Bombyx mori: one gene and its partners. The protein of the gene in region 1 binds, or shares a complex with, the protein of each later gene. Links are inferred from orthologs where the notes say so. Each region holds a gene or a part of one and is shown on either strand. Other genes may lie near its edges.

Region 1 (7,673 bases):
GCAACTCTGTGGACAGCGGCATCTCTAACAACATAAACGGCACGGCCGGTAATAGTATAGAGGCGAACGGCAACGACGCTAGTCACGCTGAACTCTCCAATGGCGAAACCTTGACCTCGGATGATAAATCGAAAGGCCTACCTTCGAGGCTGTCGGATTTGTCGCTGAAGGACAACGACAACGCCGCCAACAACACGAGCAGCGACGAGGACCGGTTCGAGAGCGACCAGGACGTCTCGCCGCGCACCAAAACGAACGGCTTGACGAACGGATCGGAAAAGAAGAACGGGGTTTCTTTAAATTTGAAACTGCAAAGCGAAATGAGGTTAGCTAACTTTAATTATTAGATCTTAGATTAATAGCCGACTTTATTACCTACGTTTTTTTATATAGCTTAGATGGGTGGACGAACTCACAGCCCATCTGGTGTTAAGTGGTTACTGGATCCCATAGACATCTACGACGTAAATGCGCCACCCACCTTGAGATCTAAGTTCTAAGGTCTCAAGTATAGTTACAACGGCTGCTCCACCCTTCAAATCGAAACGCATTACTGCTTCATGGCAGAAATAGGCGAGGTGAAGGTACCTACCCGCGCGGACTCACAAGAGGTCCTACCACCCATAATTACGCACATTATAATTTTGCGGTTTCATTTTTATTACACGATGTTATTCCTTAACCGTGGAAGTCAACCGTGAACTTTTGTTGAGTACGTGTTTCATTACAAAAATTAGTATCCGCCTGAGATTCGAACACCGGTGCATCGCTCAACACGAATGCACCGGACGTCTTATCCTTTAGGCCACGACGACTTCATTGAATGGTTAACAAGGCCCTTGAGCGCAACGTAAGAGGCTTACATGCCAAACAATCTTATGGTTTTGTGTAGATTCTCTGTTGCTGGTTGTAGGGCGTCTTGTAAGCCCGCCTGACAGGTGGAACGAAGTTGTACTATAAAACTGAGACTTAAAACTTATGTCTCAAGTGACGGTATTTACTTTCTTGATCTTTATGCGTCACGGTAACCACTTAACACTAGATGAACTGTGAGCTTCCCGTACCGGCTCAGTATAGAAATAAGACCGATGTTTCCCAGTTTCCAGCCGCCGACGGTGTGGGGCGGGTCGGCCAGCTGTGACGTCACCGACGCGTGCCGAGCGCCCGCCGAGCCGGAGTCCACCGAGTCCCTACTGCACACGTTCACGGCAGAGGAGCGAACCGTATTGTCCCACATTCCCGCCTCGAACAACACTGACGACTTACTGCTGCTAGCCCAGCTACATAAGAAAGGTTATCATAACATTTCAGAAACCTTAGTGACGCTTAACGTTATATGGTTTATTTACTGGTGGTAGGAACACTTGTGAGTCCGCACGGGTAGGTACCACCACCCTGCCTATTTCTGCCGTGAAGCAGTAATGCGTTTTGGTTTGAAGGGCGGGGCAGCCGTTGTAACTATACTGAGACCTTAGAACTTATATCTCAAGGTGGGTGACGCATTTACATTGAAGATGGCTATGAGCTCCAGTAACCACTTAACACCAGGTGGGTTGTGAGCTCGTCCACCCATCAAAGCAATAAAAATAAAAAAAGTGCTTTCCTATTTTCGCTAATTCATTTTTTTTTCTGCCCATGTAAGCAAACATACGGCCCACCTGACGGTGAGTGGTTATCGTCGCCCATGGACGTCAGCCATTGCCTAGCGAGTACCGATAAAGTTGAAACCTCTAATAAAAGTTCCTGGCATAAAATAACCGACGTGCAACACAGATAGTGTGAAACAACTATAACAGCCGAATCAGTTTTATTTATTACATAGAATTTAAGAACTCACAGCCGAGCAGATGTCGAGACAATATAGGTCTAAATCTAAATTTGTATAGTATAACGGTTTCTCACCCTTCAAACCGGAACGCATTACTGCTTCGCTACTGAAACAGGCACAATGGGAGTACTGACCTATGTGGGAAGTACTTCCTACAATCTGTAATTACGCAAATAATCAAATGTAAACATTATCATATTATGATTTATTTCGTATAGTTATAATAAAATTCCACGACGCCCTTCATGCGGCCAATGATCGGAGGCGCTGGCGGGACATCACAAGGAGTAAAGTCATGTCGAATTATAATGGTCACGACTCTCAGCAGTGAGGAAACGACGCGAGGAGGAGGATAATAAAATAAAATAGATTAGAATATCAAATTTAGGATGCCCAATTAAAAAAAAATCATAAACGAGCTTTATCTACCTTCATTTGGAATGTAATAGTGTTCATTGCATCTGCTATTTAATATTTTATTACATTTTTAAATTTATTAGTATAATATTTTGTTTTCAGGCTATTTCCGCGGCGAGCAGCATTTAGAAGAGATCATGTTTATGGAGAACGTCAGTCGTTCACAGCTAATGCAGCTTCTAGACAAATTCAAAGATGTACTCATCACCTTTGAAACAGAAGATCCCGCTGTGGCTATGCTCTATCCATATCAATAGGCGTACGCCGAAGCAAGCAAAGTGATTGTATTCTAAAGCCTTTGAGCATAATTGCGAAAATGTAAATTTTTATTTGTAATCGTATAGCTCAATATGATAAAATGACAAGTCGAAAACATTGAGCTGCCAGTCTCTACTTCACGGTCATACGTTATCTTCAGTCTTGTAATCAGTGACGTATACAATATATAATTAGACCTTACATATTGCCCTCTGTAGATGATGCCAGTGCATGTGGGAATATAAAATAATGGATATACCCATTAAACTTTGATTAAACCTAATATGTCAATCATGCTCAATTTACAACAAGAAACAGTACAAAGTAATGCTTCTACCGAGTTCCAAGAATGATGAAAGACTAATAAATGATTATGTAGTTTACACACTGTCGATACTGAGTTGACTGATTACTTTTCATGATGAACAACAAAGTCATTTGTGTAGAGCCACTAGTCACGTCAGCTGTTCCACGTTGATGATACCATGACATAAACATTCCGTGAACTCCCAATAAGTTGTACCATGGTTCGACTCGATCGATCGAATCTAAGACGTACGAAGACATAGACAATGAGAAGAAACAGTACGAACGCTTGTGTTTTTAATTTTTACTGGTCGTCGATTATTTATGAATTTAATGCCCCAAAGGTACTAAAGCGATCATAGCCTCTGATCTCCAAAAGAAATTTCGTTTATAATCACCATGCTAAAAATGTTATTTATTCAAAGAGTTCTTTCTCGTTTCTCGATCTTTAAAATCTATTTTTTTATTGATGCAATGTAAAGCAATCCAACATACTTTAGTTGCAATCCCCTGTTAGTTGCCTTCGAAGACAATAAGATTCCAGTTTGTTTTTTTTTTAAAATGTTCTACGTGCAAAAAAATATATCTGTCAGTCTGTCCATTAGAACACATTGAGGGCTGCTACAGTACTGACCAAGGTGAACTATGTTTGTAGGCCGGTTTCTCACCGTTTAGTAAAATTCTATTTATGTAAAGTGAAGTTGTTGACGAATATATATACCTAGGACAGGCAGTCCGATTAGGTAGGTCCAACTTTGAGAGAGAGGTCAGTAGACGGATCCAACTCGGCTGGGCAGCGTTCGGTAAACTGCACAACGTCTTCTCGTCCAAAATACCTCAGTGCCTTAAGACAAAGGTGTACAACCAATGTGTGTTACCAGTGATGACTTACGGCTCGGAGACGTGGTGCTTCACTAGGGATCTTTTTAGAAGGCTCAAAGTCGCGCAGCGAGCTATGGAGAGGGCTATGCTCGGCATTTCTCTACGTGATCAAATCCGAAATGAGGAGATCCGTAGAAGAACGAAGGTTGCTGACATAGCCCGTAGAATTAGTGAACTGAAGTGGCAATGGGCCGGCCACATAGCACGAAGAGAGGACGGTCGATGGGGCAGAAAGATCCTGGAGTGGCGACCACGTACTGGCAAGCGCAGTGTGGGACGGCCACCTACTAGATGGACCGACGACCTAGTAAAAAGCGCTGGGTCTCGTTGGATGCAGGTGGCAATGGGCCGGTCGCACTGGAAATCTATTGGAGAGGCCTATGTTCAGCAGTGGACGGCGATAGGCTGAAATGATGATGATGATGAAAGTGAAATGTTCTGTTTGTTCTTCATAAAATATTGATATGCTGGCCATAAATTCTTATTTTTTTTTTTAAATAAAATTATATCATCCTAATAATGCGTCAATCAAAACTCATCCTAATCTTATTTATTGTGTTTTATGAACTTTAGCTCAATAGAATTTACGTTAAATTATACATATATTTTTTATTTATTAAAATTGTGCAATCTCGTTCGAGAACTCGGGTTGACAACACCATGTTTAAAAAAAGTGGATGTCTAGTGACACCAACTTAGGTGTTTTTGAAAAACCGAGGCTGTACCGTTTTATGTTTTAGTCTTAGTTTCCAGTTCCTAATAAAATGTAAATTATTTATACTGTATTAAAGATATATTTCAAAACAGTAAATGCCTACGAGTGAAATTTTCGTTTCGAATACATTATCCAACTCAATGATGATTATTATTTGTACTTACCCACTGTACTCTATAAAAACCTTACTTTACCAATCTTATCTTTGTAAGATGAAAATTTTGAATCATTCAGAAGTAAAATCTCATTATTCATAATTAAATAAAAATTTGAAAATCAGTTACAGCAAACTCTTCTGTGTTAGAAGCGTTTTGTGATTGGTAGATTGAAACGTGTAAATTAACTGATGTTAAAAATTGAGGTTTCGTTCGAGTCACTTTCAAGTCTTTAACTACTCAACCGATCGTAATGACATTTTGTACGTATTCCCTACCCCCGATAAAAGAATATTTGTTATCCAGAAAATGTATTGTTCCCTAACGGTACATTTGTCTTCAAACGCGAGTATAGTTGTGTATAATAGCCTGTATATAATATGCCAGATACGTTTTAATAGGCACCAGTCAAGTTGAATTTCTGTACCATAACCTACATTACTACTTTCTGTACCATAACTTACATTAACCTTATATCGAGCTACTCCATTATCCCATCTAAGTTATTCAGCTAATCTAAAAAATGTTCTGAAACAAATATATTTATAAAATAAACAATTACATACTTTGTAAATTTGTTTTTTTTTGTTAGTCCATATTTCATTTCTGAAAGTAAAAGTGGATCACTTGAATCAATCAGCACAGATCGCGTTATATTCAGGGGGAATGCAAGTTTTTTCCCAATCGCTGATAGTATAAGAGGCTATTCCGACTACTCACAGACCGGTAGGTGAGCTCACAGGCTCAACCTGAGGTAAGTTTTGCAAAATGTCACTTTAGAAAGGACAATTTACTGCACTTGTAGATTACTGGGTAGTCTGGCGAGGAGGAATGTGGTGCTATGGCGGTCTCATACAGAGTGAGCTCTGAAGACTATGGAGATACCTAGGATGACTCCCTGATACTCGACCTTCCTACCCTAAACGAAAATTGGCCAAAAAAAGTAATCAGAGTGAAGGCTTCATATGTTCCTGCGTCTGTAAAAGGAGATCTTTCGCTTTGAAAGAACAGCTGTGCTTTTCACAGAGGATCAAAGTGATACGTATTTTGGCGAAAGCACTACCAATCTCGTTCGTTGGTAACAGATTTAATATTTTCTTCGGTTTTCACCAGTCGTGGAAATAATTAAAACTATGATCTTATCTCGCGTTTTTATTTTCATCTTAATGTTCGAACAGTTTTCGTGGTTACGGACGATTGTTGTAAAGTTTAATTTTACTTACCACTACTACATAAACTATGTAACAAGTTTACTTAATTATACAACCTGTTTAACTTTTGGTTTTCGTGCACAGCATAAATGTAACCAATACTACTATCTAAAATAACCAAGTGCTTTTTGACGGTTAAGCCTCTTTATATTTTTATTTTTTTGTTAATTTCATATTACTTCTGGTTCACACGAGCAATTGGTGGCTTATTGATTATTTACCACCCATAAAACTGCTCTAGTGAGGAAATATGAACAGGTCGGACGTCGAGGTCTAAAAACACGATTGAGTTCATTGAGCTTGAAAGTTTCCATTATTTCATTTCATATAGCACCTACAGTTTTGTACTAACTAACCTCATTAAATTCCATTCCATTCCCCATTTCGTACAAAAGGCTTTTGTTAAAAAAAAAAAATTGTTTGCGCTATAAATTGCCTTTGCTTACCCAATGGACGAATCAAACAACTAAAATGACAAACGTCAAATACGTAAACGTAACTGTCAAAATCTGTGCAATTTTACGAGTCGACGAAATTTGTTATTGTTGATATTACGTACATAATACATATTGGCTTATTGTTTTCCTGAGAAAATAGAAAAGTAAACTTTCTATGAAATATGAAAAATTTTCCAGTGTTTGTATTTCCTGTTTCCTTAGAATTTTACCTTAACGCCAGACACACTCATAAACAGTTGTTAACTGTTTACAATCCTTATGATTTCTCTGTAAATTTCAAAGGTGAGAAATTCGTATATTTTTTGTGCGGATTCTTTGAATAGCTTTTTATCGTAACGTGGTTCTTTTTAATTTCAGTATTATGTACGTCACCAAACAAGTTTACAGTCATCGACCCAGAGGGTGTGATCGCTCCACAAAGCTGTATTGATATTGTCGTACGTTACACACAACCATCTGTTTCACATTGCGACACAATAGAAAAATTCAGAATAACTATGTTTGACAGAAATACTCAGCAGGTAATTAGTAACAAAATTATTCATCCCAATATTAATGTTATTTTATCTAAAGTATTTTTTATTAATATAAATACATAAACAGCCCTTTGGGCGGTATAAAAATCATAGAATAAGAATTCTACTACCAGTAGGTAGTATAATACAGAGGAAATACAAAATTAAAGTCTCAATAACTAATTTATGAATGGCTGTTTTACTGTTTATAACATATCACATCAAATTTTACAGTAGAAATTAATAATTGGTTGTACATACATTTGAACAGTAAGTTGGAGCTTGTGTATTGACCAGCAACAAATATTTGGTCTTCAGCTGATTGAGCCTTCTCTTTTATAGCCTGTACTTTTGACTTTTCTGTGATAATTTGTATAGGTAGGCTGTTGCATAGCTTATTAAACTAGGTTACTGGGGAATTCAAATTTTGATTTCAAGGACAGACACGTAACATTTTTACAATCTGCGTGACATATAAGTTTCCTTCAGCATTCAGTACCACAATTGAAAGACATTTATAAATTTACAAACTGCACATTTAAGCATCCAATATATCATTTATAAAAACCAGGGAAGTTCACTTAAATTTTTACTTTAGTTGGAGATTATATTATTTCGTATTGTTGGGTTGGAATTCTGGCTATATCAATTAACCACAATTTATTATAAAATTTGAAATTTAATACAAGGACATAACTAGACTATAGAAACCATATCAGTTGTTACTATTATTTCTAAATTGAATATACAATTAACTTATAACCATTTTCCAACAAATAAATAGGTATTTTATATACTCTGTTCAGGCTCTGGGAAAAAGAGACATTCCAACCAAACTTATTGAAGGTGAACCATCAAGTACGAACCAAGAAAGTTTTGGTGAAAACTTTCATCCAATAGCATCCAGAGCTGCACCAATTAGACCTAC
Region 2 (7,724 bases), on another chromosome or scaffold:
ACAGGTCAGACCTCTTAATACTGTAAAAAGGAAATAAACTGCTACAGTTCAACGCCGGGCGTGGGGGCGGAGCGCCCGCCGCGCCGAGCCGTGTTGTGATGCTCTCAATGTTTGGCCGCAGCAAGACCTGTGGCAGAACGCAGACCTCGCCGATGACGACGCGCTCAGTGCCCTGTGGCACTTCATGGCCTTGAGCAAGTCCTTGGTGGAAGATGGTGAGTCTTATATTGTTCCTATCTAAACCGCACCAGCAATAAGTAATAATATTCTGTAATCGTGTAATGTTTGATGGCAGGTTGCATAAGGAACAGTCCGTGGAAGCACCCGGGCGTGCTGACCGTGCTGCGGTCCCCGGGCGACGGCGGCTACCGCTCCGAGATAGTGCCCTCCCTGCTGCCCGATATGCCTAACCGCAGGGTCACGCTCTACAGGTCAGACACCCGCCGCCGGGGCCGCTCGCGCTTCTATTTAGTGTTGAGCATTCAGTAAATGGACTCCTTCCTTCGAGAGCCCAAGTCTTATGAGAAGGAGGTCGGAGAAGGCATCAAGCTCCCTTCACTCCCCTCCGACGGGCCCCAGCTGGCCTGCCGGGGCCCCAGTACTATACCACTTGAGAGCTGCGAACTGAATGTGGACCGCGAGGTCGCGTTGATAGTTCTGCGGCCGTCGTGCATAGTTTTATTGTAAAGTACTTACCAATGACAGCGTTAGAGTAATATTAGGCTATGAAGGCTCTATAGCCTAAAAGATGAGATACCGATGGGGAGGGGCCATGTTTGGATAATGAAGGAAGAATGTACTATGTATAACCAGGACACACATCACAAGCGTAATGTTGAGACTTTGTGTCTTAAAGTGGATGGCCATTGTCGTCTCCGTGTTAGGGACAGGAAATCTGTAGCTCGTCTGCATGAGTAAATGTTCTGATGGCTATCCCAGGAGTGCAGAGCGAACTCGTGCACTGCAGCTGTGCGGGTGGGGGTGGGGGTGGGAGAACGCGGACGCGGGGGTGGAGCGCGCCGAGGCCGAGGGCACCCCGTGTCGCGCCGCCGCACTCGCCGCCTTCCACCTCCGGCTTAGGACTGCTCTGGACGTGCTGGCCCGGGCGCACGAGCCGCAGGTGCGTACACATCACGGACCGACATTACACTGCTATGTACAAAGACACATATAATTTCGGCCCTTTAGGTTAATTTTAATTTTTGTGGTCAGTAATTTAATACTTTAGCCCAAATCAAGTATTCAATATTTTTAAGTATTCGTCGAGTTAGGAACAGTTATTTAGCGAGGCAAGACGTGTTGTTTGTGAAGAGTGTGTCGATCTTTTCTCAGATATTGAGAACATTTGGTCGCCTTTAATTTATTATTTTTCTGACAATGAAGAATTGTAACCTGTGCAAGATCCAATTCAGTGATGGTGTTCAATGCGGTACGTGCAAGAAGCATTTTGACTTCGGATGCGCTAATATTACAGAAGCTGGATATAGAAAACTGGGCCCCGAAAGAAGGGCGGCATGGAAGTGTTCTGCTTGCAGAAACCCTTCGCAAGCGGTTGCTTCACAGGCCAGCCCAGTCTCTCCAGTTCAGGGCTTAGTGACGCTAGAAATGATCCACGCTGAATTATGCGGCGTAAATTGACTTAGCTTGTGTCTTATTATTACTTTTTGTATTCTGTATTAGTTTCTATAGTAAATTTTTGTTGCAAATTCACGTGTCACTGAACGTAGGTTATGTACACTTATTAATTATAATCGTGGTCCAAATGTTTACAACACATGTTGTTATTCACTGGCCGGCGCCTCGCCTTTTGCCGCTATTGTTCTCATATCTCGTTGCTTGTCTGTTTGAGGTTGTCATTACTGACATATATTTGAATTGCTTTCACGAATGTATTGCATATCTGCTGCTTATTAACGCTGATCTAGAGTGTCAGGGGTTTTTTGGTACTTGTTATATTCTTCGACTATTTTTATACTACCTACAATTTAATTTAATTTACTATTTTCACTTTTACTATTTAATTTTAATGTCTAGAAATTACCACAGCGTAATATTAATTTTACTTACTATGTTATTAACTATTTTCTTACAATGGACAATGAATCAGTCCTGAATAGTATTCATATCTACTACCAAAATGTTCGTGGACTTCGGACGAAAGTTCTTGAGTTTAGCCGTAACCTGCTATTGTGTTCTTATGATGTGATTATTTTAACTGAGACTTGGTTGACTGATGGCATCTTAGATAGCGAATTATTTAATGAACATTATACAGTTTGGCGTAGGGATAGGAACAGTGACCTTACGGGTCAATCTCGGGGTGGCGGTGTTTTGATTGCGACTCGTAAAGATTTAAAAGTTAGTTTGCAGCCGTCATTTAACTCATCGGTTGAAGATTTGTGGGTTACACTCATCGTTAAGTTGAAACGTGAAACTATTAAACTGCATATATGTGTATTATACTTATGCAAACAGGGTTCTAAGTTATCTTTCTCTGAACAATTAACTAATTATCTTACGAAACTCACCAACATTGTTTTGGATAATTCACTTGATAAATTCCTACTTGTTGGTGATTTTAATCTGAGCGGCATTACGTGGCTGCCGTCTAATCTTGGTTACTTTACACCTTATAATGCTCGTAGTAGTGATGAATTATTGCTTGTGGATGAAATGCATGTTCACGACTTTGCTCAGTACAATGGGATAACTAATAAGGATGATAGGATTCTGGATCTAGTATTTTCAAATGAATCATTGGTTGTGAGTAAGTGTGTTGATCCAATGGTCCCGATTGATCCGTATCATGAGGCTCTTTGTATTACGTTCAAATGTATTGAACTTGTAACTCTAAGAACTGCACCGCGCACTAACTATCGATTCAATAAAGGTGATTATTTGTCAATTAATAGAGAGCTTAATAATATTGACTGGTGTGTTGAGTTTCAGTCAAGATCTTTGGAGGGCTGTACTGATTATTTTTATGAGACAGTTAACGACCTCAAAGAGAGATATGTACCATCTCGCGTAACTGGCTCTGATCATTACCCAGTCTGGTATTCAGCTGCTCTTAAAAAAGCTATCAAAGAAAAATATAAATATAAACGTAAATATTCAAACTATGGAAATAAATCTGATCTAAACTCTTTTAATGTGCTTCGGGACAGGGTTAGAGTACTGGAAACTAATTGTTACAATGATTATATTGACTCTCTTGAAATTTCAATAGGAAATGATCCTAAAAAGTTCTGGTCCTACGTTAAATCAAAGTCTAAGTGTAATTCAATGCCAGGATCTGTCTCGTATAACAATGTGATCTCAAGTTCGGCTGAGGGAGTCTGCAGTGCATTTTCTAACTATTTCCAATCTACTTTTCTTGACTGTGATATCTCTGTTAATCTGACACCTAGAATAGCCGATGAGCATTTCACCGCAACTTCTCACTTAAACAACATCTACTTGGACCAAGCCGAAATACATAAGTTAATTCTTAATCTTGATCTATCTAAATCAGCTGGTCCAGACCAGTTGCCTGCCAGATTTATCGTTGGTTGCTCTGATGGCATAGTTTTGCCAATATACCTTCTTTTTAAGCGTTCTTTACATGAGTGCACTGTTCCAGCAATATGGAAATCGGCCTTTATTAGCCCAGTACATAAGAAAGGCTCTAAGTTCGAGGTTACCAATTACAGACCAATTTCCAAACTTTGTATTATTTCAAAAATATTTGAACGTGTTATTTATACTCAAGTATACGCGGCATTGCAAAATGTATTTAATTCAACTCAGCATGGATTTCTAAAAAATAAATCGACTGTTTCTAATTTAGTTATCTTAAATGATTATCTTACTGATGCCATGCATAGTGGTAAACAGGTTGATGTAATTTATACAGATTATAGCAAGGCGTTTGACAAAATTAACCATTCTATTCTGATTTCAAAGCTACAGAACGTAGGAATCTGTGGCGACTTATTACGATGGTTTATATCATATCTTGAGAAGAGATCGCAAGCAGTCGTGATCAACAATTATATTTCTGCTTGGGTACCTATTCCCAGTGGCGTACCTCAGGGTTCGTTACTGGGGCCCTTGCTTTTTATTATTTTCATTAACGACATCACTAAGTGCTTTCAATTCTCACGCCTTCTCTGCTTCGCTGATGACATGAAAATTTTTATGAAGGTTGCTTCCATCAATGATGCCAAGTTAATGCAATCTGATTTAGATCGTCTTTGTCATTATTGTTTACTAAACAAACTTGATCTTAATCCAACTAAATGTCATGTTGTTACTTACACTCGAAAAATCAACCAAATAGCCTACAAGTATAAACTAAATGAACATGAACTAATTAAACTTAATAGTACACGTGACTTAGGTATTGTTCATGACAGCAAACTCACATTCGATGAACACGTTAACTCTATAGTGACTAAAGCCTCCAAAATGCTTGGATTTGTTATGCGTAACTCTCAACATTTTCGTAAAGCTAAAACTATTAAAATACTATACTGTACTTTTGTTCGCAGTCACTTAGAATACGCTTCACAAGTTTGGAATCCTCAATATAATATCTATATAGAACGAATTGAAAGAATTCAGCGTAAATTTATAAAGTACCTTTGTTTTAAATTAAATATTGCCTATAACTCTAATAATTATGATAACCTTTGTAAAAAACATCATCTACTTCCTCTTTACTTGCGGCGTGGGGTTTCCGACATTATATATTATTTAAAGATCGTTAAAGGTTTGGTGGATTGCCCGGAGCTCTTATCCAAAGTTGGCTTCAATGCACAGAGAATATCTTTAAGGCATCGAAATCTAATTTCTTTGCCACTAGCTTCCACTAACTATAGGCAAAACTCATTCTTTTTACGTGTTGGTGGTGACCTCAACAGACTTGGCAGGTTCTTAGATATTGACCCATTTTATTCCTCTATCACAGGACTTAGACGTCAGCTTAGTGCCCGATTTTTCGTGGGCGATGAGGGGGCAGAGGGTGCGGGGCCATGTGCCGGTGACGTGTAGCACAACAGTTTTTAATTAATTTGTGACATTTATACATAAGTGTACATTTAAATTAGTCTGGTGTTTTCCTCCATTCCTTATGTTGTTTCTTGCTTGCTGAATGTTTTTAATTTTTTTTTGTTTCTATGCTTTTGTTTCTCTAGTGTTTTTAATTTGTTTATATTGGTGAGAACCTTTAATTGGCTTTTTGTTTCTATTATTTGTTATATTATTATACTTTGTTAGTTGGCTGTTGGTTCTCCTTGTATTAAATAAATAAATAAATAAAGTATTTCCTCGTGATATGTGACTACGGTTGTTTGGAACAGCTCCGCGTGGTGGGGCTGGCGCTGGCGGGGCTGAGCGAGGAGCGGCTGTGGCGTGAGGCGCTGGCGGCCGGCGCCTCCGCCCTGCCCGACGCCTACCTGCGTGGGCTGCTGCACTTCCTGGCGGCCTCCGCCCCCGCGCCGCCCGCCCTGCACGCGCCCTCCGCGCCGCCCGACCTGTCCGCCGTGCTCGTCAGTATATTGTGACGTAACGCGACCCGCTCCCCCAACCCGCTTGCCCTTGATGCGTCCCTTAAACGTCACTTGAAGTATCACGTCTATCGCAGTGAGAGAATTCAATTTAAAGTAACAACTAACGCTTGTGGGGAGCGTACATTAGGTGCCACTATCCCGCCGGTCACATGTTCAGGTTTGGAGGACGGGGCAGCCGTTGTACCATATCATATAGACTCCGAGTTCAAGTCTCAAGGGGGCTCGCATCCTCGTTGCGAACTCTGGGCTTTGGTAATCACTTATCATTAGTGATTCATTAATGTAATAAACAAATCTGGCAACAATATAAGAGTTATGACAACACAATTAAAATAACCATTTCTTAACATTTTCGTAACATAATACGGATTAAAAACAATCGAGTACCATCTGCCCCGCGGCGCCGCCCGCAGAACGAGACGGAGATGCGGCTGGAGGACCGCGTGGCCTTCGCCTGCATGTTCCTGTCGGACGGCAAGCTGCACGAGTACGTGCGACACACGGCCGACGCGCTCGTGCAGCGCGGGGACCTGTCCGGCGTGCTGCTCACCGGTGAGGGACGGGCTGCCCACCCCGGCGATGTGCTCGGTACACGTGTGTTACACTGCGCGGTGTTGTGGTCCAGGGGCCGGCGCGGAGGGCGCGGCGCTGCTGCAGCACTGGCTGGACGCGAGCGGCGACGTGCAGAGTGCCGCCCTGCTGGCCGCGCGCTGCTTCACGCCGGAGCTGCTGGCCCTGCCGCACGTGCAGCACTGGCTCGACAGGTACCGCGCCCTGCCCCACACCGACCCACATCAACTATCATAGTATCATAGATTTTTACTAATTGATTGAACATTTCTACGGCTTGACCCCACCGCTAGCAAAAGAGGCATTAAATTGTGATTTGTATATACCTAATTCAATACGTAGACGCGCCGTGCGTTCATGGTAGTGTCAAATTATTTTATTACATTCTTGTATAACAGTGCACTTGTAGTGCGCGCGGAAACGCTGGTCATCTCCTGAGGTATGTAGCGGGGTGAGACGGGGGAGAGCGCGATTGACAAGACGCACACGATATTATATTAAGTGCAGATAAATCTCAGAATAACATATTAGAATTAATGTAATGGGTGCCTAATTCTAATATTGTATTTTTCTATTTCCTGGTTAAACAAAAAATGCATATTCAAAAGTGTTTATTATATTTTATTACGAAACAAAACAATTTTATAAGCAAATGAACATTTCTTAAAAAGAAAAAAAAAAAACTATCACCATTATAGTACATTATAAAAAAATAATTATTTATTTATCTATTTTGATTTTTTTACCAACAAAAATTTATGAATTTTCCATCGTAATACCCCCATGTCGAAATCATCAATGTAGATTCTCTTTTTTATTTTTTTAGGTTTTCATGGAGAAGTAAATTTTGATTTTTCCGATGTTTGCCGATTCGAATTTACTTCAGCTACAATTCTAATTACGGTCTGAGAAAAAAAATTGTGCACATTGTAAATTACATTTTACACTGATCGTGTTATTGGTGGACCCATCTTAGGATATTTTATCTCGTGTATGTTTGGAACAAACTGGCAAGAACAACTGTATCGTACAACCGCCGCGGTGGTCGACGGCAGACTGAGTTAGCTTGACGTTTGTCTACCTCGCCCGCCCTGCCGCTCGCATACAGCAGGCGGTGACTAGCCCTTCCGCGCACACTATAGTTAATGGAAAATTTGGTTTTCATTTATTGAACAGTTTTACAGTTTGACCCCACCGTTAGCAACAGGGACATTAAAGTGGTACCCGCAAAATATGTGAATGTGTGGAATCATTTATGCTGTCGACCTTGCGTCGACGTCTCCAGAAGACTGCATATACGGGCGCCGGTGACCACTTAACATCAGATGGGCTCACAAAAAAGAGTTTATAATTTTCTCAGTCACAAGCGATTATTGGAGCAGACGGGTAGGACAGGCTGCCGCACCGCGTGCTCGGTGTCGTGCGCGGGCTGTCGAGGACTATAGACTCGTTGAGACAGGACGGCACTCCGGCAGCAGCAGTGCAGTCTTGTGAAGAGAGTAATGCGAAGTGTTGTGTGTAACGGGCAGCTACCGCGGGCTGCTGGACGGCTGGCGGCTGTGGTGGGCTCGCTGCGCGCTGGACACGTGGGTGTGCGGGGGC
Region 3 (8,233 bases), on another chromosome or scaffold:
AATATATTATATATGTTACGGTAAATGTACACTCTTGGGAAATGTACACTTACTGGCAATGGCGATTTTGTATTTTGTATGCCACGCTCACATATTTTACCAAAACGACATGGTCATTGTGAATTCAATGTACATTTCCCTTCTTTGAAATTGTAAATGTTAGTTGAATGTACATTACCCAAACGAGGAGGCAATTGTGCACATTTACCGTTAAATGTGTACATTTGCCGCAATATGTACTTTTACACCGGTCACTCACATGCGCACGAATACGCAAACCCGCAAGTGTAGGACGACATTTAATTTTGCAAATGATTATGCAAAGTTTTCGCTGCATTCGTGGTTTTCCAAGCTGTGTCGGTTTTTTAACAGACATCAAAGCGCGCGAACCGCGAACCTTCGCGTAGTCTCACACACATTCGTTTGCCCAGTTGCGTCGACGATTGCGGAGGTAACGGAAGTATCGCCATTTTCATAGTTCGTGACGTCTACTGTGTAGCGTATCTTCATCAAAAGAAATCCCATAAAAACAGCATGGCTGTTAATGATGTCTGGGAAAAAATTCAAAACTCTTTTTCTCTTCAATGTTCTATTGACGAATTAAAAAGGAGGATAAATTCGTGAGATATTCGTGAACAAGTGTAAGAGGATGCGCAAACGGGTTCGCAAATTGAGTACCGAACCCATTTGCACAGCCGCTAAGTTTGCGAATGAATGTTTGACGGCCCTTCACATGCGCGCAAACATTCGTACTATGTACGAATATTTGCCCGCATGTGAGTGGCCGGCATTACCGTAACATATAGATCACGATTGTTCGTTAATGTTATTAGTGGAAATATGCTAAATTGTTGTTCTGATAATAGGAAGCGAGTAATCCGTCGGGCGGTAGGAGTGGCGTCCACAAGCCGACGCTGAACGACGCTCGCAAGCCGGTGACGTGGCTGTCGCGTTGCAGCGTGCTTTGACCCCGTCTGCACACTACGACCCCCGCCCCAGCCCTATTCTAACATTGTGGTACTTTGAACTGCCCACCTTGACTATATTTTTCTACCTACTTTACTTGACGGTGCGTTGACCTCCTGCGGGGATGAGACTTGCTTTTGTATTTTTATATCCAAGACTACGAATACATACTTAATTTCGTCTTTGAAAATAAATAAACAGTATTGTGCATTAAATTATCTGTAATCGGTTTGTAATTTGATTTTGTATTTAAAAACTTAAAATTTCACGGTGTTATGTTCATATCAATTTTAATGGTAAAAGGATATTATTTCAATAGATTATTTTAGCTGTACTTTATCTTTTGCTACTTTTTAAATTAAGATTATATATTATATATATATATTTTAATGTAATATAAAATGTACACTATTTAATTTGAATAAAGAGCTTTTTTTACATAAATCTATTTTGTTTCAATAAAATTCCAATTTAAGTAACGAATTAGTAATTTTTATTTACCAACATTAAATGTATACAAAGATAATTTATTTCACTATATAAATGGAAGGAACATCACTAGTTTTGAAGAGAAACCGAATAATTATAATTGTAATAACTCATTTGGTTCTTTTCTGAACTAGACTTTATACGAATGTTTTTCATTTCATGATGTTTGTACTTGTTTAGGTTTTGACCTGAATGGAATTAATATTAAATTCTTTGTTCCTATTAAAGCACTTTTGGTGGTAAATTTTAACAGTTGCAGTAACTTCTTGGCTGTCAATACAAATAACTCCAAAGTAAGCTGTGAACCTTTTCTCCAATAAACGATATATGCTGGAATTGGTGGGAGATTCTCAGACCAAATGCCGTTTCTGAGGCTTTTTGCTTGTGCTTCTGCTGATAATAGAGCAGGGGCAATTTGTGACTCAATGGTATTCTTTTTTAATTCTTTAGGAAATGATGCTTTTGCAAATCCAAGCTCCACCAATTTTTTACCAATATCCAATGTTTGAACATCTTTACTCTGAAATGGAAAACATTTTTGAAGAGTAATTTTTAATAATTTAAGGTATTTTGTTGAATTTGTTTAAATTGAAATATACCTTAGGCTGAGGTAAATGCAATAATACAGTAGAAACTAGATCATCATTATCTCTTCCGATTGGCTTTAATGTCACTTGCTGGCCCCTAGCAACACATTCCAGCCAATTGACTGCATTCCCACTAACTACTTCAATTCCCCACAGCTAAAACAAAACAAAAAGAAAATATTTTTATTACTTTGTAGGTAAATTTTCGTACAAGTTATATTTTTATCACATTTACCTTAACTGGTAGTGGAGGTTTACTGGAATGCCATAGCGGTAAATATATTGGGGCTTTGTGATTGACCAGAACACGAACTGGTGAATGTTGCACTCCAGCATATAATCCTTTCAAAGGTTCATGATTTCTGATGAAATGATCTGGAACTTTACTGGCTTTCGAAAACTTGCTAACCTATCGAAGTAATTTTATTATTTATAGTTATGTAATTATTAATATAGGGTTTTTTAAACAAATACTTACAGGGCGAATCTTATGAACAGATATGGCGAGACCAGCGGTGGCTAGAGCATATACTGCTATCTGTAAACAACAATCAGATGATAGTGCTTCGTTTACAAAGTTATTATTATCAACATCAACTTGTAATTATCTACATACGTTAACCCCGCGATAATCTTGTTGTAATAAATATTGCATGTTGTAAAATATTCCTCCTTCTTTTTGAGACATTTTGATGTCTACAGATACGAAATTCTCATAATTTCTTAAACTTTCGTAAATTAGCTCATCAATATTTTCAATCCAATTCTGAATTTAGATGAATGAGAGAAAAAACAGCTTCAGACTTGTCAGAATTTTTGTTTGATTCTACTAGAGCTCTTTATTATCTTTGGTTAACTACCAAATGTAACCTGACACAGTGTTTAATCTTTGGTTATTACTTACATAAAGCATAGATTTTTTAATTTTTTTGAGGCCTAGTCTTGATATGTCAATAAAAGTATCTTCATACAGTTTAGGTTTAGCTATAAATATAAATGCTTAAAACTTTTGGGAGATACTTCATAAGTAACGCGCAAAAAGTAATAAAGAAATAAATAACTTAACCAAAGATTGTGCTAACCTAAGGTTAACAAATAATACCAAAGAGGTAATTTATGACCTCTAACACACGAGCGGCATTCTGGCACTAAAATATTTGTGCTTTTTTGTAGACTGTGTTGGAGCTATGTGATCAATAATCTCGAATCATCAAGAAAATCTCTAGCTTCCATAACAAAATTGATAAAAAGAATAATTCAGTTGTAGCGTCGCGTATGTTGAAGCTGCAATTTAATTCTGCCACTTTTTATTATTATATTGTTAAACTTACCTAATAAGTTTAGAGGTGACGCACTGCGACTGTCTTTGCAATGTCGAAATAGCTCGTGTGGATGGATACAAAATATTTTACTGGTAGCACTGTTGAAATTCCACGTCAACTGATTTGACAGTTGATTGCCCATTTTCCGTTGTGTATTGTGTAGGTTAATAAAAATATATAATAATGATCACTGTTTTGAATACTATTGATACCGGCCATGAAGATATGATACACGACGCCGAACTGGATTATTACGGACTAAAACTAGCTACATGTTCTTCGGATAATTCAGTGAAAATATACGACATTAAGAATGGTACACAAACATTGGCTGCTGATTTGAAGGGTCATTTTGGCCCCGTGTGGCAGGTAGCTTGGGCTCATCCCAAGTATGGGAACCTATTAGCGTCATGCTCTTATGACAGGAAAGTTATCATATGGAAAGAGTCTGGAGAGTGGACTAAACTATACGAATACACTGGACACGAAAGCTCTGTGAACTCTGTTGCGTGGGCGCCGGCTGAGTACGGCTTAATCCTCGCTTGTTGTAGTTCAGATGGCTCAATCTCTATCATACAATATTCACAAGATACTGGTAATTGGGACGTAAAAAAGATAACGGGTGCACATGCCATTGGTGTTAATTCTATTAGTTGGTGCCCAGCTTTATCTGCAGATTTGAACTTAGATCCGCTTACCAATAAAGATGCTCCAAAGAGATTAGTTACTGGAGGGTGTGATAATTTAATCAAGGTATGTTACAAGTTGTGTTTAATTGTTTACTGACTCTGTATTACAGTAGTTAGCACTCCTAACTGTTGCGCCACAGAGAATCCTGATTTGGGGCCAGATGAATGTGTGTGATTTATTCCGGGTTATTTATTTATAAGGCAAAAAAAGAAGGCAGCAATTTTTCTTTTCACAATATCATATATTGCATGCATTAGTTAATTTTAAATGAAAATAGATATATTTCAACAATAATTAGTTGAATTTTTTTAATATATCTACCTAAAATTACCTTGTCCTTTATTATCGATATGTTCTTAATAAACCCTGTATTTAATGATTACTATTTAATGACATCATAATGCTTCTTAATTATAATTTTTTTAGTTAGTTATTCCGGTTGTTGTTTTCAGATTTGGAGAGAGCAAGGTGATCAATGGGTTGAAGAGAACAGATTAGAGTTGCACATTGATTGGGTCAGAGATGTAGCGTGGGCACCCTCTCTGGGATTACAACGTTCCATGATTGCCAGCTGCTCCCAAGACAAGAGGGTTGTCATATGGTCTAGTGATGATAATGTATCTTGGACACCAACAATATTAAACACATTTGATGATGTAGTATGGAGTGTTAGCTGGTCTCTCACTGGCAACATCTTGGCTGTATCAGGAGGAGATAACAAAGTCAGCCTTTGGCGTGAGAGCACTGATGGCCAGTGGTTATGTATTAGTGAAGTTGCCAAAGGTTTGGGCCAAACACCCAATGATGAAAGAAGCACACTTTGAATTTGCTTTTAATTTCATTTGTTAATTTTGTAATCTGCTAATAGTAATATAAAATATGTACATTAACACTGATCTTTTATAAACTTCATCAAAACCCAGATTTAATCTATATATTCAATTTGATAATCCAATAATTGGGTTGTGACATATCTAACAGGTTTTAAATAAATTGCTATGATTATTATTACTGTATGTATTGAACATGGGCTGAGGAGATGAAGTCACTATTGTCAATGTACACAATAATTTTCAATTTGATAGTATATTTTATAGAATTTAAAGAGATATTTTTAGTTTAAAGAGAAAAGTTCACATGTATACTTGACATGGAAATAAAAATTAGAGAAATGTACTTTTCACCTTGGAAAGTATGTTGCCATATGTCGCCAGAATAACTAGAATAGGTAAAAATATTTGGGTTCTTGTCTTAATTGTTTGTGACAATAGAAATAAAACAAAGGGACATAATATATATAAAAAAAATTATACTTAAAATACAAACTATCACATGTTTTTAAGATTAAAGTCAATTTGTTCTAACAATAATGGCATCTGATAATATTCGGCTATTGTCTTAAAAGTCATTAGTTGGTCTTTGATCTCTGTTACGGGAACCATCAGCGAAAAATCTCCAGCACAATCACAGACCACAGACAAATTCTCACGTTTTACCTGGAAGAAATATACATAGATTCAAATTCCGCAAGTAACCAAACATTTTTTCCTAGTCTTTATATATGTATATGCAGTCTGCTCACAATCCCATAAGGTATACATTCCTTTATTTCTTCCTTTAAAGAACCACATCAACTTCTTACTCGGAGTGCTAAAGAATGTTATTTCTTACTAAAGGAGGTTTAATAGAAAGCTGTAGTTGACTTTTACACACCATCATTAAAAATTAATTATTCTATGAAAATAGTATTATTGTAGTAAAATATTAAAAATAATGAGCTTTTGAGATGGGCTTCCTCATTTAGTCATTTTGTGATGTGGCTATGGGGTATTTCGATTTAGCTTAGTCACAGAATAATTGAAATTTTTTTTTTCTTTTTTTTTTTTTTTTTCCCTACCTAAGCTGAGAGCCTTGAGAGGCTATATCAGCGTAACCCTAACTTTTGTAGGTGAGCTCACGGGGCTCAAACCTGATGACGTTGCTAACACGAACCCTAGCAAGAGCCGTGCTTCGCAGAATCTACCACCGGATCGGAAACGCGACCCACTGAGAAGATCCGGCGAGAAACTCAGTGGGCTGTGTCTGAGAGTTAATTTACTCGTCGAGCCCTTCGTCGCAAGCGACGGGTTCGACGAGAACGGTGACCGGTGCTTGAAGTACCTAGAAGCACCGTTAGTGGATCGGGAGGATCCGAGATGACGTGTTTTAGGCGACGTCGACGGCTTTCCATTCTGTCCGCAGGATCGGGAATGTAGTTACCGGCGGCCACGATGAGAGGGTTCTCGTGTCGTGCCGCTTTATCGAAGTGGGATTGAAATAATTAACACTCCATTGCAGTGTTTCCTATAGTGCTAACATACTTATTAGGCGCTGTTACGTCTGGGCAGCCTTAAAACTTACATCGATAATGGTGGGTGCCGGGTGTGCATACTCGAACAATGAATGTGTAATATTTAATTATTAATACCTGGTGACATCGGCTACATATAAGATCTTGCAGCGTATACGCCATCGTACGTTTGTTCATCGTCTCGATTAGTCGCCATTCTATTTCCTGATTATCATATGCTGTTCCACAAGTTGGACATAAACACGCCGGACTGAAAATAAACATAACACAATGTTCTACACGTGCTTTAGAAATACTGAAATTTCAGCTCTCTCATAATCTACAAAACACATGTTTGGCCAGATGATTGGTCACTTAATTATTCTCAAAAACATTGTTTACTATTTAATCTAATATTCATTAATAAAAATAATAAAAATGGTACGCGTGCAACTTGGTGCACGTGAAAGAAGTGAAACTTCTTTTGTGTTGTGTGGTATTGTGATTTTCTTCATTTTTCATTCTTAAATCTTTCTCTTGTAATAGTGATAGTGTAATAGGAACTTTCGCCTTTGCCGTTTCCCTCTCTCCACCGAGTCGAGTGGTTCACCAGACGCTATCTATTTTCTCAATCTCGCTGTTCCTAAAATCTGTATCTTTCTAGCCGTAAATCTGTAGAGAGTTAAATTTTACTTTTAACGTACCTAAAGAAGTTTCACTTCAATAAATTAGTGTTCTCGGCTAAAATTCGATTCGATTCAAATCGATTTAAATTCATCATTCGCTGAATTTTTTTTATTGCCCTTGTAGGCAGACTGGCATACGAGCATAAACTCTTTCGAATTATTACTAAAACAGGTTATTTGAATTATCACTGAATCGTGGTTGGTGCGGGGTTGGGTCGGTTACCGTTCCGTCGACTATCGCCTCGACGACCCGTCGGTCGGGCGTCCTCGGGGTAGCGTCGCGTATCTGGTTGTAGTGTTGACCGCGGGAACCCTCCTACTCTGACCGGGTTCTGACCCCGGACGGAGATCGGACGTCGGGTGTAAGAGTGCAGGGGAGTCGTTTAGTGCGGTAGGGCCCTAAAATTCCTTGGGCCCGCGGTCTGCTCCCAACACTTTGCAGATCGTCAAGTCCCACATACCATCGTAGGAGGTTCGGCCCAGGCCCGAAAAAAAAAAGGTTACCGTTCCGTGTCGTCTCGCGCGTCCCTGCACAGGTCGAGGTCGCGGCAGTGGTTGCACACGCGGCACGTGAGCTCGGTCAGCACGCACGCGGCGCACGGCTCGCGCCACTCCGCCGCGCTGCTGAACTCGCCCACGCCGATCAGACGGAGCAGGTTGCGCCGCACCAGCGTCATCTGTCAGGTGTTTGTCACATCTATACTGGGTGCATGGAGGGTAGAGGTAAGGAGAACCGACGCTGTGTGTGCTAAATAAGGGTGGCGCTACTGTAGCAACCGGGTAAATTTTAAAAAAGGCGCTGAAAGTTATCAGAATAACATAGAGAAATAAAAAAGGACGAAAGAACTGTAAGCACTACAAAATCACAAAAAGTATTTTATTTAAAGCTGATAAGAAAATGCAATCGATGTCTCCATGTTTTACCACAGCAATAATTTTAGGTTATATTGACGAAATTCGTTTAGACTACGTAAACATGTGAGGTCTTGTATATTACATTGTCACTAAATACATTAAATTTCCTAACTCAGCATACTACAATCAGTTAAAAACTGCTCAATTCATACCATACCCTGTGCCTATGCTAGCGTCATTCTGGAGGATTTTTGAATCGTTATTTAGTGCTGAAAGTCGGACACTTTTTCAAGCTTCTCCCATAGTCAG
Region 4 (8,437 bases), on another chromosome or scaffold:
TCAGAAAAATTGGTACTCGCCTGCGGGATTCGAACACCGGTGCATCGCTACATACGAATGCACCGGACGTCTTATATTTTAGGCCACGACGACAAAACGTTTCGGAAATATCTTCAAGGTTTGTCACCTTGCGAATTCTCAATAGGCCATGTTTTCCCCCTTTGCCTCCCCTAAATATTGAGGAACTCCCATCGTGGTAATAGCCACTTTTTCAATTGTTTTTAATTATGTTAAACTGCACACAGAAACAATTAGTGTACTAAAAAAATCGATTGTAATTTTTAATGGTTGCATATTCATAAAGGATTTTATTAACGTTCCAGGTGAATTCAAAAGGCTTAGTTGAAATATTATCTGCAGCGGATCACGACGTCCGGAGTTTACAGCATTTATCATTAAAAGACAGTTGGTGTGCGAGTTTCCACCGAGATGGCCATCGTAACATAGCCGTAGGCACCAAGAACGGTAATGTAATGATATGGGACACGAAGAACCGAAGTGTCATAAAAACGTTTCCAACACCTTCACACCAGTCTGCTGTAAACTTCGTTAGCTACAATGCCAAGAATACTAGTTTAGCAGCGACCATGCAAAATGGCGACACGGTCATTTACGGTCTTGTATCAAACATTCCGGTTCTAACGGTCAAACTGCCTTGTTCGAAAAGTATTTCGGCGATGAAGTTTCATCAAGATGCTCGCTCGCTGTTGGGGCTAGCAACCGATGAAGGCCACATCGTGCTCCGAGACGTAACCACGAATAAAGATAAGGTGTTCTTTGAAAATGTACACGGGGCTCCGGTCAGTGATATTGCGTACTCGCTGATCAATCGAGACGTTATGTTTTCCTGTGGCTACGATAAAATCATGCACGTTTATGATATTCGATTACAGAACATAGTTTCGACTATTAAGGCTGCTTACACATTGACTTCCCTGGCCGTGAACACAGAAAACCAAGTCGGTTTCGGTACGAAAAATGGCGTAGTCCTCATATACGATTTGAGAGATTTAACTATTCCATTCAAAATACTTAGAGGTCACGAAGATGAAGTTAGAAAGGTTACTTTCCAACCTTTGCGAAAGATGGCCTTCTCAGCTGAAATCAGCCTGCGAGAAGATACTGAATGTCTTTCGCCAACTAAAGTACACTCCCCGGTCCGTACAAGAACTTCGGATATGTTTTTCATAAGCGACACACCCCCAAAAAATAATCTCGAAATATCTAATCAAGGTGATGCCAAAGCAGATTCATTTCTTGTCATGATGGGACTGGATAAATCGAACAATGATTTTGATGATGAAGGCAGTAAGTCTTTGGACCATGAAAGGAAAAGTGATAGGCACGAAGCAAGGTATCGCCAGTTGGACGCTGAAAAGAACATTAGTAAGATATCTACTCCTTTAACTAGCAGAACGATGGATAACTTAGTGTTTCCATCCCCTTTACCTTCCAACGGACTTGCCGAAGAAGCTCGGATATCAAATACAAATCTACCAATCAAACATTCTAGTTCTACTCCTTGCGTTGACGTAATGGAGAATAAATCCTTAGATGAATTAAAAGATTTTATTAAACTTACACTGACCGACGTCGCAGATGACAATAGAAATTATTTCCTGCACATCATGATGGCTCTGACAAAACAAAAATTATATTTAGAGAAACAACTGTCCAATATGAATGAGCAGATTCAGAATCTAACCTACAACCAAGACGTTTTAGTTGAGACAAACAGAAAACTGGCTTTAGAAATTGATCAATTAAAAAAGAGAACTAGCTTTAATAAAACTTAGAAAGTTCCAGGTGTACTTATAAAGTTTTGGAGCTCTAATTTATTTTAAGCAAAAGTACATCAAACTTCATAATACAATATAGGAAGTTTGAAGAACTTTAGCTAAACTTACACACACTTATTATTATTTACAATTATTTATATTACACAATTGTTATTTAACAGGTTCATACTACGGTTTTCACATTTCACGAGTTGTCGATATTTCGGCGTGTTGCAAGCGTCACGGTCAGGCATAGACTGAAGATTGCGGGTAGGATGTTAGGAGCAAAACAAAAAGTAAAGTAGACATTACTTATGAAAATACCAAAAAAAAAGTAAACATTTTTTTGCCAAATTAATAGTAGGATTAACATTGAAGTTATTTCTGCTGACTGCGAATTCATTTATAAACGCTTGTAGCATCATTTTAGTAATTTTTATGTCTCCTTTTATGCCATTGAGCTGGGTAAGGGATCTGATGGTATTAAGCGTTGATCGTCGTCCATTGCACTATGAGAAAGTCGTCTAGCGGCTGTGCAGTCTTTTAGGCGACCGGAAATAGGATGGCAATACCAATGCGTCCCCACAATACATCAGTATCTACCGGTATAGGCGCGTCACTCAATACGAATAAGTTTTGTCCCTAAAAGAACTGATTTTCAGAACCATTCGAATTCATTTTAAGTTTGTTAGGACCTATTAACAGACGTTACACTGTAGCGTCTCTAAGCGATGCCTGCCACTTATTATCAGCTGAGCTGCAATCTCAATTGCCATATTTTATAAAAAATTAATGAAATGTTGTTGACTTTTCATAATCCTAGGTAGAATATTTTTAAAACTGTAAAATAATAATTGAAAGACATTTTGTTAATTTTAATATACTTATACACATATAAATAATAGTTGTGCCAAATTTAATACCGTTCGTAAAATTACGGACTTAAAAATTTCCAATATTTAAATTATTTTTTGTCTCTTTCGTTGTGTTTGTAATGTAAATTAAATAAAGTAAATTTGTAATAAATATTCCGGCATCAATACCTAATAGTATAGGGTCCTTAGGAACGGATTCTTTGTAAGTAATTTAAAAATAATAAACATAACATATTTTCAACTCCTCTTTTTATTTAACAAATGTTAAATATTATCATTGAACACTTAAAGTGTGTAGTAAATTAAAAAAAAATACGTAATTGTCTATTTGACAAATTGGTCAAGTTATTGGAGATCTGTTTAATGAAAATTATCACACTCATAATTAGTTAATCATATACAAATTTTGCATCTATCTAAATTGTTCTGTTTTCGTGTTTATTTTGACAATAATGTTAATAATTGATGTATTTTTGTGTATGAATTTGTTATATTTATAAATAATATTAGCTTCCTTGTTAATCTATGTAATTAAATTAGCTAGTACACTACTAATTTTATTAAATGCCTATAATTTTTAATTGTTTTTTTTTTCAAAGTATATCATGAGCCTTTTCACACATCTATAGATCTTAGTGTAGGAATGGTAGGTAATAAATACGACATCGATGTTGGGAGAAAAACATGGTAAGGCGGGTACTAACGTCTAACGAAAGACCACTGTTATTTACAGCATTGGTCTTCCGTCGTGTGGGGTACGAACTGCTTGAATTGCTTCCCTTTTATAAATTATATATTATAAATTATTATTATCTATGCTGTTTTCATTCATGGACTGAGGCTCTTTAACAAGTTTTCCCAAGTTACCACAAGTTTCTCCCATTTAATCTACATGGGTGCCACTCCGGGAAGGACCGCTTAATTGCTGGGGATGAGATTAAATCCTTTATCGATATCCTGTAAAACAATTGTGGTGACCTAAAGAATAAGATGGACAGACAGACACAAATGAACGAGTTTTTGGCGGAAACGCCAGGACCGAAGTTGTGTGTATTGTTTTTTATTTAATTTAGTGTTTCTTCAGGCTTAAAGGCTTCGTCAAACAGAAAGCGTAATTAGTGCGCGTCAGAGCGCTACGCTATGACGCCGAGATGTGTTGTACTACTATACTATGAGCGCTATAGCGCTGGCGCTCTGTTTGACGGTATAATACCGTAGTAGTACAATACATCTCGGCGTCATAGCGCGGCGTTAGTTTAGCGCTCTGACGCGCGCTAAGTACGCGTTCTGTTTGACGAAGGCTTAAACGTGTAGTAATGGTGCTTTAATTACTGTTTTGCATCCGTAAAAGCGCATGTGGGAAAATGAAACAGTCGCTTGACATGGCTTTTCGGACTCTTCCAAAAAGTCCACTAAAGTCTCTTTAAATAACTGTCATTTTACTGTGACTTTATTTCATCCCATCTCACCTCATTTTATTTAATTTCATCCATATAATCTTTCCCTTTACGTTGTTTTTCATTTAACAGAATATAAAAAAAAATTGTCTGTATGAAGTGATACTTTCGCCTTTCATATTGAAAAATGGAATTATTACTGTCATTAATGTCATTTTCTGTTAATTTGAGGTTATAAATTGGGATTAATGTAACGGAAAAAACACTGTTAGTTCATAATAACAATGAGTGAAAACATAGCTACGAACCTTTTCGAGGCCCAAACGATACATGCCGATCACAAAGACCTTATTCACGATGTCGCGTACGACTTCTACGGGGAGAGAATGGCCACTTGTTCCAGTGATCAATACGTAAAGGTACATTCTTTATATTATTTTTAATTAGAGTACGTACCTTTGTTTTACGTACGTATAGTTGTAAAACGTGGTAAAATGAAATTTTTTTAGTCTTCTGGTAATTCACGAAAGCTTTGTTGCTTCGTAGTAATAAGCAATCGTGAAAGTTAATAATTTGGAATATGTTATTTTTTATCTTAGATATGGGACACAGACGGGCATGGAGGCTGGCGGATGACAGCGAGCTGGAAGGCTCATCACGGCTCTGTTTGGAAAGTTACATGGGCCCACCCAGAGTTTGGACAGGTCATTGCGACTTGCTCCTTTGATAGAACAGCTGCTATTTGGGAGGAAGTGGGTATGTGGAACCATTTGTTCATACCATTTAGCATTAAATTTATTACTTTTTCTAGATGAGTTGTTTTATAATATATTTTATGTATAATTAGCTGACCTGGCAGACTTCGTAGTGCCTCAATCAATAAATAAACTAAACTTTTGTATAAAATAAACCTAAAACAAAAAAAGGAATCCTTCCGGCGGGGGACATATTAAAGGAAAACAAAATTGTTATTTTTATTTAATTCTGAGCATTTTTATATTTAGCTACCTTTTAAACTTTCTCTGGACCTCTACAAATAATACAATACCAAAATTAGCCAAATCGGTCCAACCATTCTCGAGTTTTAGCGAGACGAACGAACAGCAATTCATTTTTATATATATAGATTATAGTATATTCTTGTAAGTTTTAGCCACAATTTACCCATTTTTTGCAGAATGTAAGGTGTAGGGTGCCTGCTTTTCATAGTTTTGCATCATGGTACATTCAATGTACTTCTGAAAGCTTTCATTAGTTTTTTGTGTTTGGGTAGACAGACTGAGATCTTAGATCCCATATCACTTAACATGAGGTGGGCTGTGAGCTCGTCCACCCACCTAAGCAATAAAAAAATTACATTCTAGGAAACCTAGCTTGGAAGTTGCAAAATAATATAAATTTTAACAGACATAAAGTGTGAAAAACTGTGACCAAAGAATGGCCTATTTAGTCATCACTAGCACCATCACTAGTCATGCAGAGATATACACAAGCCAAGTGCAGAATAGTAGGAGTATATAGTTCAAAATGATTGGTTCAAATAAATATGTATTCAATATTGTATTCAGGTGACACCACAGCAACAGGCTCTGAAAAGAGTTTACGTACATGGCTGAAGCGGTCAAACCTCGTTGATTCAAGAACTTCAGTAACAGATGTTAAATTTGGACCTAAACATTTAGGTCTACTACTAGTTACATGCTCAGCTGATGGCATTATAAGGTATTATGTTGATCCATAACACTACACATCAGTAAAACCTCCTGGTACTACTTATTTCAAGCATAAACTGATAGCTACTACCACCCTGCCTATTTCTGCAATGAAACAGTCTCGTTTTCTAATTTGTAGGCTGTTTTACTAGATGGTTAAGAATTTGGGTCTAAATGTGAGTGATGATTTATGTAACAATATTGGCAGCTACTAATGTAATCTAAGCTGTAAGCATTACCTGGTTTTCTACATTTTCAACAATTAAATTCAGCTAATTACCATTTTTCATTTGAATTAATTCTGTGTCGTTCTAGATAAATAGTTGACCTCAGAATCCACATAAGGCTATGTTGTTACTGGTATAGCAATACTGCTCTTCATCTTCTCACTTTAATCTGTTTGAAGCGAAAACAACATTCTGTTTGATTTACAGAATATATGAGGCTCCGGATGTGATGAATTTGGCACAATGGACCCTCCAGCACGAGATACCGACGAAAGTTTCAATTAGTTGTTTATCATGGAACCCTTCATTGTCTAGGTAGGTATGTATTTTTATTATAATTGGATGTAGCAAATAGCCCATCTGATCGTAACTGGATATAGTCACTTATGGACAACAAGTAGTCAACAACAACAGTCAACAACAACAACAACAATAATAACGTGTAGTCAACAAAGAGCTCTTTTAAGTCCCCAGATACTCATAAAACAGCAGGGAATTTAGTTTAGAGGTTGAAAGTGAGAGTAAGAGAGAGTTTTTGGGAGCAAATTGTGTTTTTACTGTGTAAAATAAAACTGTTCTGTTGGCTTGTATTAGTGACTTTTTTATAATATCTTCAATATTGCATTTTTTTTCTAGGGTAGGAAACCCACCAATGTTGGCAGTAGGCAGCGATGAACCTAACACAACAAATGCCTTAGCATCAGTACCATCTGATAAGAGCACAGCTTGTAATGGAAAAGTTTTTATTTATGAGTAAGTATTAATTTATATGTTGTAATCCATGTATTAAATATACACTTTTACTTTTATATGTAAATATCTAAAATACTTATTACTTGAAATAATGATAATTCTAGACAGTGACTTGGATGTGCCCCTGCCATTGACAATGTCTACTGTTAGCAGTGATTTAAAACTATCAGTTTTTGTATTGTATTTGTAGTGAATGTAAACATTTGGCTTCATTCATTTACTTGATAGATTTGCAAATTTTTATAGTTGTCTATAGCCCAGGGAAGATTTTTGTCATAGTTTGGAGAGTATACGACAAAAGGAAGATATTCAACCGAGCGGGTGACAGACAGTCCGAATGTTGATGTTCAGAACTTGTATATATGCAAGTTCCATTCCCGATCCTGCGGACAGAATGGAAAGCAGTCGACGTCGCCCCAAACACGTCATTTCGGATCCTCCCGATCCACTAACGGTGCTTTTAGGTACCTCAAGCACCGGTCATTGTTCTCGTCGAACCCGTCGCTTGCGACGAAGGGCTCGACGAGTAAATTAACCCTCAGACACAGCCCACTGAGTTTCTCGCCGGATCTTCTCAGTGGGTCGCGTTTCCGATCCGGTGGTAGATTCTGCGAAGCACGGCTCTTGCTAGGGTTCGTGTTAGCAACGTCATCAGGTTTCAGCCCCGTGAGCTCACCTACTAGTTAAGGCGAAGCTGATATAGCCTCTCAAGGCTATCAGATTAGGTGGGAAAAAATAAATAAATATGCAGGCTTATCTTGAAAATGTCGTAAGCCAGATTCAGGCATCTAGCAAATATCTTGTGTTCTGTGATGGCTACCCGCCACAATGGTACCGCTGTGTACGTAATAAAAACTCTTATGAAGCTAAACAAAAAAAATTAATTAAATTTGTGTTCAGATACAGTGAAACGTCTCGTCGTTGGACGCGAACGGACTGTCTGTCATCCGTCCAGGAGCCGGTCAACGACCTCGCCTTCGCTCCGAACCTCGGCCGCTCGTTCCATCTCCTCGCCGTAGCCGCCAAGGACCTGAGAATCATTAAAATCGAACCACTTTCGTGAGTACTTTATTATCTTGTCATTGACATGACTACAGATGATGCAAAGTGTAAAATTTCCGTTAAAATTCACAGAAGGGCCGGTAAGCATATCGACGCTTGAAAGGCAAACGTGACTAAGCGACAATAACTGCTTTGTACATAAATGATAGGCAATAACCGTATTCAATGCGCAAAAAATATATATTACTAGGTCTATTAAAATAATTTCAATCCTACAGCTAGATTCGTTAAAATAGATTTTTTTTCAGGTATTTCAACTTTAAATTAGTCTACTGTAAAGTTCACGCATTGTCGCTTAGTCATGTTTGCCTTTCAAGCGTCGATATGATGATAAGGTACCGTTTGAAAAATATGGTTCATTTCTGCGGCACTATAAACAGAACACCAGCCCGATGGTCAGATCTGGTTCAGAAAGTGGTTGGTGGTAGTGAGAAAGAGAGAGAGAGAAAGAGAGAGAGAGAAAGAGAGAGAGAGAAAGAGAGAGAGAGAAAGAGAGAGAGAGAAAGAGAGAGAGAGAAAGAGAGAGAGAGAAAGAGAGAGAGAGAAAGAGAGAGAGAGAAAGAGAGAGAGAAAGAGAGAGCGAGAAAGAGAGAGAGAGAGAAAGAGAGAGAGAGAAAGAGAGAGAGAGAAAGA

The links.
Region 2: GATOR complex protein NPRL3 (region 1) and GATOR2 complex protein MIOS share a complex: the UniProt entries of both Drosophila melanogaster proteins name them as parts of the GATOR complex. The link is inferred for Bombyx mori from reciprocal best matches to the Drosophila melanogaster genes Nprl3 and mio.
Region 3: GATOR complex protein NPRL3 (region 1) and protein SEC13 homolog share a complex: the UniProt entries of both Drosophila melanogaster proteins name them as parts of the GATOR complex. The link is inferred for Bombyx mori from reciprocal best matches to the Drosophila melanogaster genes Nprl3 and Sec13.
Region 4: GATOR complex protein NPRL3 (region 1) and sec13-like protein share a complex: the UniProt entries of both Drosophila melanogaster proteins name them as parts of the GATOR complex. The link is inferred for Bombyx mori from reciprocal best matches to the Drosophila melanogaster genes Nprl3 and Nup44A.

The regions. Positions count from the first base shown.
Region 1 is NC_085124.1:9,497,893-9,505,565, reverse strand, and holds the end of GATOR complex protein NPRL3, read left to right. Parts: coding exon 1-325; intron 326-1,099; coding exon 1,100-1,293; intron 1,294-2,347; coding exon 2,348-2,502; 3' UTR 2,503-5,135; downstream 5,136-7,673. UniProt on the Drosophila melanogaster protein: An essential component of the GATOR subcomplex GATOR1 which functions as an inhibitor of the amino acid-sensing branch of the TORC1 signaling pathway.
Region 2 is NC_085114.1:15,838,611-15,846,334, reverse strand, and holds part of GATOR2 complex protein MIOS, read left to right. Parts: intron 1-121; coding exon 122-215; intron 216-295; coding exon 296-431; intron 432-939; coding exon 940-1,120; intron 1,121-5,342; coding exon 5,343-5,531; intron 5,532-5,965; coding exon 5,966-6,104; intron 6,105-6,177; coding exon 6,178-6,316; intron 6,317-7,651; coding exon 7,652-7,724. UniProt on the Drosophila melanogaster protein: An essential component of the GATOR subcomplex GATOR2 which functions as an activator of the amino acid-sensing branch of the mTORC1 signaling pathway.
Region 3 is NC_085131.1:3,990,963-3,999,195, reverse strand, and holds protein SEC13 homolog, read left to right. Parts: upstream 1-2,730; 5' UTR 2,731-3,547; coding exon 3,548-4,117; intron 4,118-4,506; coding exon 4,507-4,878; 3' UTR 4,879-4,944; downstream 4,945-8,233. Other genes in the region: small GTP binding protein RAB8, read left to right, coding at 867-968; uncharacterized protein LOC101741756, read right to left, coding at 1,613-1,975, 2,055-2,198, 2,278-2,451, 2,521-2,580, 2,659-2,730; DNA polymerase epsilon catalytic subunit 1, read right to left, coding at 5,383-5,550, 6,522-6,654, 7,574-7,746. UniProt on the Drosophila melanogaster protein: Functions as a component of the nuclear pore complex (NPC) and the COPII coat. At the endoplasmic reticulum, SEC13 is involved in the biogenesis of COPII-coated vesicles.
Region 4 is NC_085125.1:13,428,622-13,437,058, forward strand, and holds the start of sec13-like protein, read left to right. Parts: upstream 1-4,287; 5' UTR 4,288-4,334; coding exon 4,335-4,469; intron 4,470-4,649; coding exon 4,650-4,806; intron 4,807-5,618; coding exon 5,619-5,772; intron 5,773-6,196; coding exon 6,197-6,304; intron 6,305-6,625; coding exon 6,626-6,742; intron 6,743-7,642; coding exon 7,643-7,801; intron 7,802-8,437. Other genes in the region: uncharacterized protein LOC101745951, read left to right, coding at 324-1,796. UniProt on the Drosophila melanogaster protein: Probable component of the nuclear pore complex (NPC). Involved in maintaining the localization of another nucleoporin Mgtor to the nuclear envelope of early meiotic female germline cells.